Linked DNA regions of Mus musculus: region 1 is reported to be linked to region 2. The links are microRNA targets in miRTarBase. Many come from high-throughput screens and were not tested one by one. Region 2 holds a microRNA gene; the other region holds the end of a gene's coding sequence.
The links. Region 2 holds the annotated microRNA mmu-miR-5134-5p (UUGGCAGAAAGGGCAGCUGUG, at 2,962-2,982, opposite strand). A microRNA usually pairs through its seed, bases 2 to 8, with sites in the 3' UTR of a target mRNA and lowers its output. Matches are read on the target gene's strand: a 7mer-m8 pairs with bases 2 to 8, a 7mer-A1 pairs with bases 2 to 7 and ends in A, and an 8mer does both.

Region 1 (5,072 bases), not on the chromosome of region 2:
TCCAGAGGTTTTTTGTTTTTTTGTTTTTTCTTTTCCTTCCATAGAGCAGGAGCAGAGTACTGGAGAGGCTCAAGGAGCTGAGCAGCTACAGGATGCAGAGGAAGAAAAGGATGACTCAAATGAAGAAGAAAACAAAGACAGTCTTGTGGATGATGAGGAAGAGAAAGAGGACATTGGAGATGAGGATGAAGGAGAAGAAGATGAGGAAGAGGACAACTTGGCAGGCATCATGGCTGAGGAGAGAAGTGACACCAACGAGCGAGCAGTTGTGAAGGAGGGTAGTGTGTCCCCAAAGGAGGACGGAGCTCACCCAGCTGACACTCAGGACGTGGTGGAAGACGCCCTGAGGCAGCGCAAGAGTCAGAATGCCAACAAGGGATCTTAGGTTACATTATGACATTTCTAAAAATACAGGCCAAAAAAGAAGTCTGTTTCCCTCTGGTCTGCAGTTTAAGCCAAATCCTTAGTTGTTTGTTTTGTTTTTCTGAATGAGCAGTGTTCACTTTTAGAAGATGATCTCTGGCCCCGTGGTTACATGGTAGTAAGCCTCAGTGTCGTAAGAGAGGTGTAGCACTTAGCCATCATAGTGTTAGTACCTTTGTGGGGTCTTGAAGAGAACAAGTTGATGTGCTTGGGAGCCAAAGAGTAAATCAGAGGACTTCTCTGCAGTTCTCATTAGCACCTTTAGAAGTGAGGCTGCTGCTTGATAAAGTGACAGCAAAACCAGAGCATCCTTAAAGTGCAGGAAGTCTTTGCCGTCGTTGTTAAGCATGTGTTTTAGTCAGGTCAGAAACATCAGGTACCACAGCTCCCCAGCACTCTCTTGAGGCTAGAAATTGTGGAGACCGGGGTATAGATAGAACTTCAGCATGGAGCTAGGGAGTCATCTGAGCTCTTTTGGTCTCTCGTCTTTTGTTTCTTACCTTTCATCTCTATGACTTTTCCACCTTGCACTTGCAGACTCCCATGGTTCACAGCTGCTCTGTAGTGAGAAGAGCCGGCAGCAGTGATCTGCATGGATTACCCTTACTGGATGTAAAACTTGAGGGAACCACAGTTGAGGAGGCTAAGACTGCCAAGTGTCTCAAAGACATATGCTGTACTCTCTGAAAATTCAAAAGGCAGTGGCAGTTTCATAGGACAGGTACAAGCAACATCTTTTTTGGGTCCTATAGTTACAGGATAACTTCTTCAAGAGTTTCTCCAGCCACATCCTTTGTTTTTCTGAACCCAGAGTGCTCTAAGCCTTGTCACTGTAAGGTATTTTTATAAAGCTGACTTCAGGTCTGTGGTGGTTAGTTTCCATCTCAAGAAACCTCTCTGGAACCACTTTAATAACAACTGAAAAGGCATGTCGGCTTTGCTTTTAGTGATGTGCTTTTGGTGAAAAAACAAATTGATGAAAGTCAATTTCAGTAGGTAAAAGATTTTATTTGTTTCTATCTCCCTTGATCCTCTGGAGAATTGTGTGATTATAAATCTCTCCCTGCTCAATCCAATATCAGTATCAAGGAACCCAGATTCCTTATTAAATAAAAAAAAATCTCTATCTCCTCTCTTACCCTCTCAAGTCTGAGAATAAATCCATAAAATTAGATTCTAGCTATATGAAGGATGACTAAATTCAATCTTATTCCCCCTTGGGTTGAGTCAGAATAATGAGTACAGGTTTGTGAAACTCAAAATGTTTCATCATTTTAAAAAGGGGTATGTAGTGTATTTCTCTGGCTGCTTAGATAACGTTTTCTTTGCATTAGCTGCCAACAGGAGGGTCATTGTTAGTGGAGGTTCAGAATCTGCCTTCCTGTACTGCACAAGGCTGCTACAAACCTTGCACAAAGAAAGATTTTATTGTGACAATCCATTCTTTATGAATGTTTTTGTTTCATCTTTCTAACTTAGTTAACTGTCAGTTCAAGGCTGAGGCCATCACAGAACTGGAGACCTTACTGCCCTTCCATGTTTCTGCCCTTCTGATACATCCTTACTCAAAAGTGTCATGGTTCTGTGGTACTTTTCATCTTCCTAATAGAGCTGAGCTGCACCTTCTCTTCTGCCAGTATATTTCCTTCCTTCCTTCCCTTGTAATCCTTCCTTGATGCATGGAGTGTTTAAGCAATAGTAAATCCAAGTTCAGAGTGGTGGGAAAGGGACGACTTGCATCTCTGTTCTGTGAAGTACCCTCCTCCAAATCGACATACTGGGTTTTAATGGGATATTTGACAAGAGGGAAAGCTTGAAGGATTACAGTCTGCCTTGGCTTTGATAAATGTTTTAAAACCAGGTTCCATTTGGACCACAAATACTACCTAATAATATAATAAGATAATATATTTCCTTTCTTTTTTTTTTTTTTTTCCTGAGATAGGGTTTCTCTGTGTAGCCCTGGCTGTCCTGGAACTCACTCTGTAGACCAGGTTGGCCTCGAACTCAGAAATCTGCCTGCCTCTGCCACCCAGGGGCTGGGATTAAAGCCGTGCACCACCACCACCACCCGCATTATATTTCCTTTCTTAATACTTAAAAGATATTGGAAGCTGGAAGAAAAAGTCATGGAGAAGGGGGTCTAGTCCACTAAAATTATATTTATTTGTAGGAATCATTTTTTTTCCTGGCTTTTCTGTTTTTAACATCCTGGCAAAAATTGGGTTTCTAGTAAATAGTCCAGGACCTTAATTTCTTTCCATATGAAGCCTTAAGGTTTATTTTCAATACTTTGTTCATATAAAATTAAAGGAATAAACAACTTAAGATTAGATAAACATTTAATACATTTTTGTGTACATAATAAATTTAATCCAGAAGTGAAGTGCATGAAAATGTGATTTTCTAAAACAAAAACCATGCTTCCCTTCCATTGCCATACCTGCTATTTAATTGTAGATTGCTATTTTCTGGATGTTAAAATCTGGTGAATGAGATAGCAATTGTGGAATGAGGGTGTATAGTGCTTTATGCACAGATGGATAGAGAAAGGTGCCTTGTTCTTCATTGGAATATCTGAAAATTCCATTACCTCTTTTTATTTTTTTCTTAACCCTTCACCTCCTTAACCATGCTGAACCACACTGACTTGCTTAGAATCCCATGGGAGCGATGCACAGGCAGTTCACTTTTCTGTTGTTGTTATTGTTTGGTTTTGAAGGCTAATCATGGAACATGGAAGAGATGTCTCATTCACTACATAGGCCATTGTGCTGTGTGGCAGTCACTGCAGTCTCATCCTGTACATAGGATCTGTACCTGTTATTTATAATAACTAGTGCAATGGAAGGCAAACAAGCTTGACACAGATCAGCTTTGGACAGCTGAAAAGCTACACTTTGACCTTTTAGGGCCAACTCCTGGCTGATAATTAAGATATTGCCATGTGGTTTGAGTATATGTAAGCTTGAATAAGTGCACTGTGTAACATCTTTTGGGGAGGAGATTAAAATGCTAGTTAAGGGAATATCTGCCATGTGGCTTTTGCGAGTTTGGAAACAATGGAGGTCAAAGGGAAGTTTTAAAGAATTGTAAAGGGTGAAAGATATTTCAGCATTAAAATCCTAAGCATGAAGTGAGGGAAAGAGAGAGAGAATGGAGCTTTTGCTGGTGTGTACAGGTTTTCTGTGTTCTTCCTCTTAGTGTCCTGCTGTTATTCCTGCCAGTATTGTACATTTGTGATTGACTAGCCTGTCAAATCATTCAACTGTTTGGAAAGTATTTGTGTAAATCTTTGTGCCAACAAGAACGCTCTCAGTGTTGTGTCTCTTTACCTCATTGACTTGATCCTTGTGAGATTGTAGCTTCTGACAGAAGCCAAGGTGGAGTCTCATGAAACCTGCTAGGTCAGTTCTTTGAGCAGCTACCCAAAGCAGGAGACTCAACTGAGAAACCTTGGACAGCTTCAGCCTAGCATGTTGACCTCAGAGGCTTATTCTCTAAAGTTTCGTGTAGACTGTGATGTTCACCTGTGGCTTTGACTCATTTCTAATGTGGTTTAATTTTATTTGTCTTTGGAAAGCTTTGTAGAAATGCAATTTTTATACTAATGACACTGTTCATTTGTGAGTCAGTATATTATAAAATGGTGTGTTTTTTTGTAATAGTTTTGATTGTTTAGCCCAGTGTATTTATTTTCCATTACCTATGTATTCTGTGCTCTCAAATAGATGTGTAGCAATTGAAATGAGAAATCAGTTCATCATTTCAAGTACTACATTGCCTGCATTACAAATTCTCTGATCACAGAATTGTACATAACCCTGAGCCTATGTACTGCCATTTGATTGTCAGGTTCCATTTGTGTCAAAACCTAAAGATAGTGATGACCAAGTGAAACAGAGTGGTGTATTGCTTTTTCATATGAATATTTTCACATAAAAGCATTTGTGAAAGCAGTTGAAAATATTACTTTGTTAAAAAAAGAATTTTCTTCTGTGTTTATTCTCTGAGTGTTCATTCTCCACTTTTTGTACTTGGACTTGGTAAAATCCATGCAGTGTGCCCAAGGTTAATGCAAGGGTTTCTGAACACCACAGCCCATTGTCCTATCTGTATGAGCTCACTGCAGTTGCCCTGGTCAGGCTCGTGCATTTACTTAGTGACTTTGCTACTTCTCCAAGATTGCTGGCCTTCCACAGTCTCCTACGACTTAGAGAAGACTATCTCAACTTACCTGTTCCCACCTCTGTAGCAATAAAAGAGCCAAAAAGGCAAGGTGGCTCCTTTGAACACACTTCACACTGATGTAATGGAGATTTGATTTATTCCTTTTGAAAGATAGTAGTAAGCTGTTTGGTAAAAGAAAAAATGCTATTAAGTTCAATTTTACCCAGTTTCTTTACCAAAGTAGAGGTAAGAATTCTGTCTGTGTGAATGACTCTTGGTGAAAATTCTTCACTAATCTACCTCTCAGGTAAGTTAGTATAATCTCTAAGTATAGTAAGTGGGATTCTCTTTAATCCTGCTAATTTAACATTAGTTGCCCTTTGGAAAATCTTTTGCCATTAGAATGTAGAGTGTTTTAGTGTCACTGGTGGGGCCCTTTCCTGGAATTGAATGGTAGAGACCATATGATAGATGCAGAA
Region 2 (5,072 bases):
CTAATGACACACCGCAGCCATGGCTTCCTGGTGCTTTCTCCACAGCAGTAGCGCTCAATGGCCTCAGCTTCCCGCAACAGCCACCCCGCCCCCCGCCCGCCCCCCCCCCCCCCCCCGTGACCTCAAACAGAAGAAACTTTTGCTCAAAGGAGAAAGTCAAGCCCTACTTACCCGAATCTTCCCTTCCAGGGCGGAAATGATCTCCCCCATCACGCGCACCAAGTCCTCGTATTTATACGTGTTGTCTGTGAGCCACACAGCCTCTCTAATCGTCAGAATCTCTTTGCTGATGAACCTGGAACGTAGAGATGGGCTCTCAGGCCTGAGCTGAGGGGCCATAGCTCAGAAAGCCTCAAGGCAAAAGCATGATGGGATGGCTCCAGACTCAGGTGGCAAAAGGAAGCTATGGAGCGAATCCACTTGCTTCTGACTATCAAAGAGCATCCAGGGGCTACAAAGAGGGGGTCAGAACAGGATCCTCAGACCCAGCAGGAGAGGCATGGCTACAGAGCACAGACAAGAATGTACAAGTGTCGGGTCCCGAAGAAGCCTGGGACAAGTCTCACTGAATACCTATAGCTCCTCCCAGCACTCCTGCCCCAACCCTACCCTGAACCTTTTACAGTCCAGGGGCTGGCCTTCCCTTCCAGCAGCTCTGACCCCTACATAACCCAGCCATGTTGGTATCTGTTCTCTTGGCCCGGCACCCCTCCGTCCAGCTCCCCTCTTCCTCTCTGCGTCTCCTTTTCCTTCTTCTCTCATGGCACAGTCTACTCTAGCTGTTCTCTCCTTTATAACCACCGAGGAGCTGTCATGTCCTGATTTTCATCCAAAAAACAAAAAAGACCCGACCCATGAGCGACACTAATTTAGCTCTTTATGACTTTATAGATGAGGGCTTTTTTTTTTTAAGGTTTGTTTGGCTGTGCTGTGGTTCAAAGCCAGGTGCAGACTCGCCAAGCTTCTAAACAACCGCTTCAGCTCCTGTCCTATCCCCTTGACTGCATCTGAGTACAAAGAATGCAAACATAAAGATAGGTGAGCTGCTGGAGCACGGTGGAGGGCTACACACAGCCCTCCCGGTGTAGGAGGGCTACACACAGCCCTCCCGGTGTAGGAGGGCTACACACAGCCCTCCCGGTGTAGGAGGGCTACACACAGCCCTCCCGGTGTAGGAGGGCTACACACAGCCCTCCCGGTGTAGGAGGGCTACACACAGCCCTCCCGGTGTAGGTGGGCTACACACAGCCCTCCCAGCGTTTGGCCACAGGAATCCTGACTGTTTCTGAGGCAGGGGCAGCCTGTTCTCTGCTGTCCACAGTACTAACAATCAGAAACACTCTGTTCCAGTGGTCCCACAAGCACCCTCCCCAGCGAATGTGGACTGCTGCTCAGCCTTGGCAGAAGGGTCAGCGGAGGCAGCAGCCTCACCAGCTTGCTGACTGCTGAGAAGACCTGGGATGTGAGATTCGGGTCACAGAGCCTATCTGAAGAAGACCCGGGATGCGGTAAGGTCAGATGTTCCCCCCTGAAATCCACAGTCTTCCTCCTGTGGTCACATGACCATGCTTCCTCTAGCTGGGACATGGATACTGGAAGGTGCTATAGTGTCTACTGTGGCTGGATATATATGCCCACATGGCTAACCTGGTAAGGAAGGTGGGCTTGGGAGCTTTGGCGGTGACAGGAAAAAGAACCACTCATGGAGCTCAGAGGGGAGCAAATGTGAGCGGGTCTCCTTCATGACCTTCATCCCAGTGGGCCGGATGTTCTGCCCACAGGTTCCTATATGAGTCAGGTTGATCCAAGAGTCACATGGGAAGAAATCTTACTAGATTGCTATGGGAGGGCTCAGCTCACTGTGGGTGGTGCGGTCCCTGGGCTGATGGCTCTGGGCACTATAAGAAAGAAGGCCCAGCAAGACACGAGCAAGCCACTATGTGGCACCCCTCCATGGACTCTGATCTGAGTTCTTACCTCCAGGCTCCCTCCCTGCTCAAGCTCCTGCCCTGACTTTCCTCACCAAGCTGCTTTTGATCATGGGGCTTTTTCACAGAGATAGGAACCCTAGTACACAAGCGAGCCTAGGAAGGAGTTAGCAGGGATGTGAAATGTGTGTCCTAGGAAACAGCAGACCAAGCTGGGGCCATCAAGTTTAGAAGAGTAAGAAAATGCAAACTACATTTTGAAAAGCGCCTTCCACATCGCTTCCAGAGGCAAATCTAAGCACAGCTTGAGAAAAAAAAAATGTAAACTGAACCTATTTGAAAAGCTAGAGCTGCCAGGGAACAGGCTGCTGTGTGACATGTGACATCCTGTGGCAGGCTCTGATGGTTGGGGGCTTTGGTGGTAGACTGGAGGATTCCATCTCAGTGACAGTTTATCTCTGATGACTGAGGAGGAAGGCACAAGCCAACAGCTACAACCAACTCTTCTTAGCAACTGGCATCCTTTGGATCATGGGAAAGTGTGGTCTAGCTTAGGCCTTCCCAAGTCCAGGCTCTGGGTCCCAAGACTGTGTGGGGGATACAGACCCCCCAAAGAGGTATAATCGACATACAAAGGGTCAACTCTGCCATCCCTTCCTCGCAAAGGATACTGGGATTGAAATTATTAACACAGTTGAGCCAGGTAAGGCACTTAAGAGTTATTTCCCTTAAAAATCAGCAGCTAGGACTCAGAGGACGGTGGCCTCTGCATCTGGGGGGACCAGCACATGAGCACCTCAGCCCTGCCCGTTGGTCAAGGCTCCTCACCGGGTACAGATGACCATGCAGGCAATACCCAGGAGCTGCAGCTTGTATCTGGGGACCAGCCTCCTTCGCAGGTACCGGTCTACACACTCCACAGTCAGGTGAAGACACAGGCTTGTAAAGTCCTTCATTGTGGCAACTTCCACCAACCAGTCGATTAGAATGTACCTGCAGAAAGAGGGCCACCCGTGAAAACTAGGACAAGCATCACAGCTGCCCTTTCTGCCAAGTCTGTTCAGCTTGAGCAAGTGGCCTCATCATTTTGAAACCACTGGTTTACCAACTCCGAGTCCCCCACAGCAACTCCCAGGAGGCTGGCTGGTGGGTTCACAATCTCTGCAGCCTGTGCCCAGGCCCCGAAGCCTGCACATCCCCAGTGTTCACAAATCCGAGTCAGCCCGCAGCCACCAAAGCACTGGGTGATCTCAATCCCTGCTCATAGGCAGTGGGTACCAAACAGGCAACACAACAGGGCTGGGAGCAGATCACAGCTCTCAGAACCAGACAGAGGGTTTCGGCTGCTCTGCATCATCAAGCACTGTCTGGGCCCTCGGGACAATGTTCTGCAGAGGATCAAAGAGCCAGAAATGCCACTTAAAGTAAGAGCCACTCAGTGCCTGCGCTGGTGTTCCCTCATCCAGCACCCCAGATGGATGCCCAGACACAAGAAGGCCGGCAAAAGTCTCTCTCTACCAGGGAGTTAAAAACCTGGGGAACGAGGCCATAAAAAACCCCAGGAGAATCTCGTAAGGACACCCTAGTAAGCCCAATGCTTCTCGGGCAAGAGATCCTTGTCTAAAGCTGAGGGGTTACATCAACAGGAAGCAAGAGAGAAAAGGCGCAATGATGTGGACTCTTGGGGAGACAGAAGGGGCAGGCTTTGCCTCAGCTCAGACTCATCGTCATAAGTCGAAGGAGGGATAGGGAGTCGGGCTGAGGTGGCGAGGAACAGGACAGGAAAGGTCTACTCCCCACCCCCACCCCCCAAGAAGGGTCAGGGGCTGAGGTTTAAAGCAGAACAGACTAGGAAGTTCCTCTAGGCAGACATACTTAACAAGCTTAATAATCCGACTTCTTTTTAAAAGTCATCATTACACTTATTTTGTGGGTATGGGTGGTAAGTATGTGCGGTTGCATGTATGACAGGGATGTGGGAGACAGAGGACAACCTTTGGGTGTTGGTTCTCTTCTTCCACGACATAGGTCCTGGGAACTGAACTCAGGGTTTCAGGGTTGGCAGCAATCACCTCCACCTGCTGAGCCATCTTACTGGCCCCAGTGATCTGTTTTTAGAAATCAGATTATTGGGCTATCAAGAGTTGGATTAAAGGCATGCATCAACCTGGGGCTTCCCAATAGTACTAGGATGGCTGCGCACAGAACCTCTGGAACCCACTCATCTCCACTTCCTCAGTATCAGGATTATAGGCACATGCGACTCCCTCAGACCTCCAGTACTGGGTACCAAACTCAAGTCACCATTCTTGTGCATCGAGCAAATTACTCACTGAGGCCACCTCCATGGCCCCAGGACAATGATTTAAAAAAAAAAAAAAAAAAAAAAAGCATTTACTAAACATAGTTCATGTTCCAAGCAGTGCTTGCAAGGGGCCAGAGGTTTCCCATCATAAACCAAAATTTTACTTGAAATTTCAGATGAAAGCTTAAAACACCATTCACATGTCCCTAATTCTAGGTACCCTCAAACACACTCTGCAATTTATTGTGTTATCACTAACGTTTGAAGCCTGGAATAGACAGTTGTGCTGGGTATCACAGTAGCTAACCCAAGGGATGGGATGGCTGGGATAGGGGTGAGGAGGGGTTCACCAGCTCCCTAGGTCTGACCTCTAGTCACTGAGTGGCAGAAAATATACTGATTATAAAGAGAGCTGTAAAGAAAAGGTTATATTTATAGGGGTTGTGGGTTAGAGGCAATTCATCATGAATAAGGTGCTGGGCTCAAAAATCTAGATCCTCTTCCATCCAAAAAACAAAACAAAAACCAAAAACCAAAAGTTGTATTTCAGCTTCAGAAATCGGAGTGATAAGTCTCATCATTTCATAATGATGATTTGAACAATTTAGCATGCTTTTCCGCTTTAAAGACTTTGGTGGCTTACACCTGTACTCTCAGAACAATGCAGGAGGCTAAAGTAGGATAACTAGAAATTCAGGGCTAGTCTAAGCTACAACAGGACTGGGAAGATGGTTAAGTATTTGCTGAACAAGTACAAGCACTGGCATTTGGATCCAGAACCCATGAAAGTGCCAGCTGTGTGTGGTGACCAACTGTGAATTCCAGCTGCTGTGTGTGGT

Region 1: miRTarBase lists Tmx4 as a target of mmu-miR-5134-5p. Seed matches in the 3' UTR shown: 7mer-A1 at 1,073-1,079, 7mer-A1 at 1,758-1,764, 7mer-m8 at 2,053-2,059, 7mer-m8 at 2,448-2,454 and 7mer-m8 at 3,454-3,460.

The regions. Positions count from the first base shown.
Region 1 is chr2:134,593,838-134,598,909 of GRCm38, reverse strand. Tmx4 (thioredoxin-related transmembrane protein 4) reads left to right here. Exons shown (of 8, transcript NM_029148.1): 8 at 45-4,409. The coding sequence ends at 385. Among named protein-coding and RNA genes, the nearest start is that of Hao1, 42 kb to the right of the region's middle.
Region 2 is chr17:24,231,614-24,236,685 of GRCm38, forward strand. Mir5134 (microRNA 5134) reads right to left here and starts at 2,991; the gene lies at 2,914-2,991. Ccnf (cyclin F) reads right to left here. Exons shown (of 17, transcript NM_007634.4): 10 at 2,757-2,921; 11 at 172-295.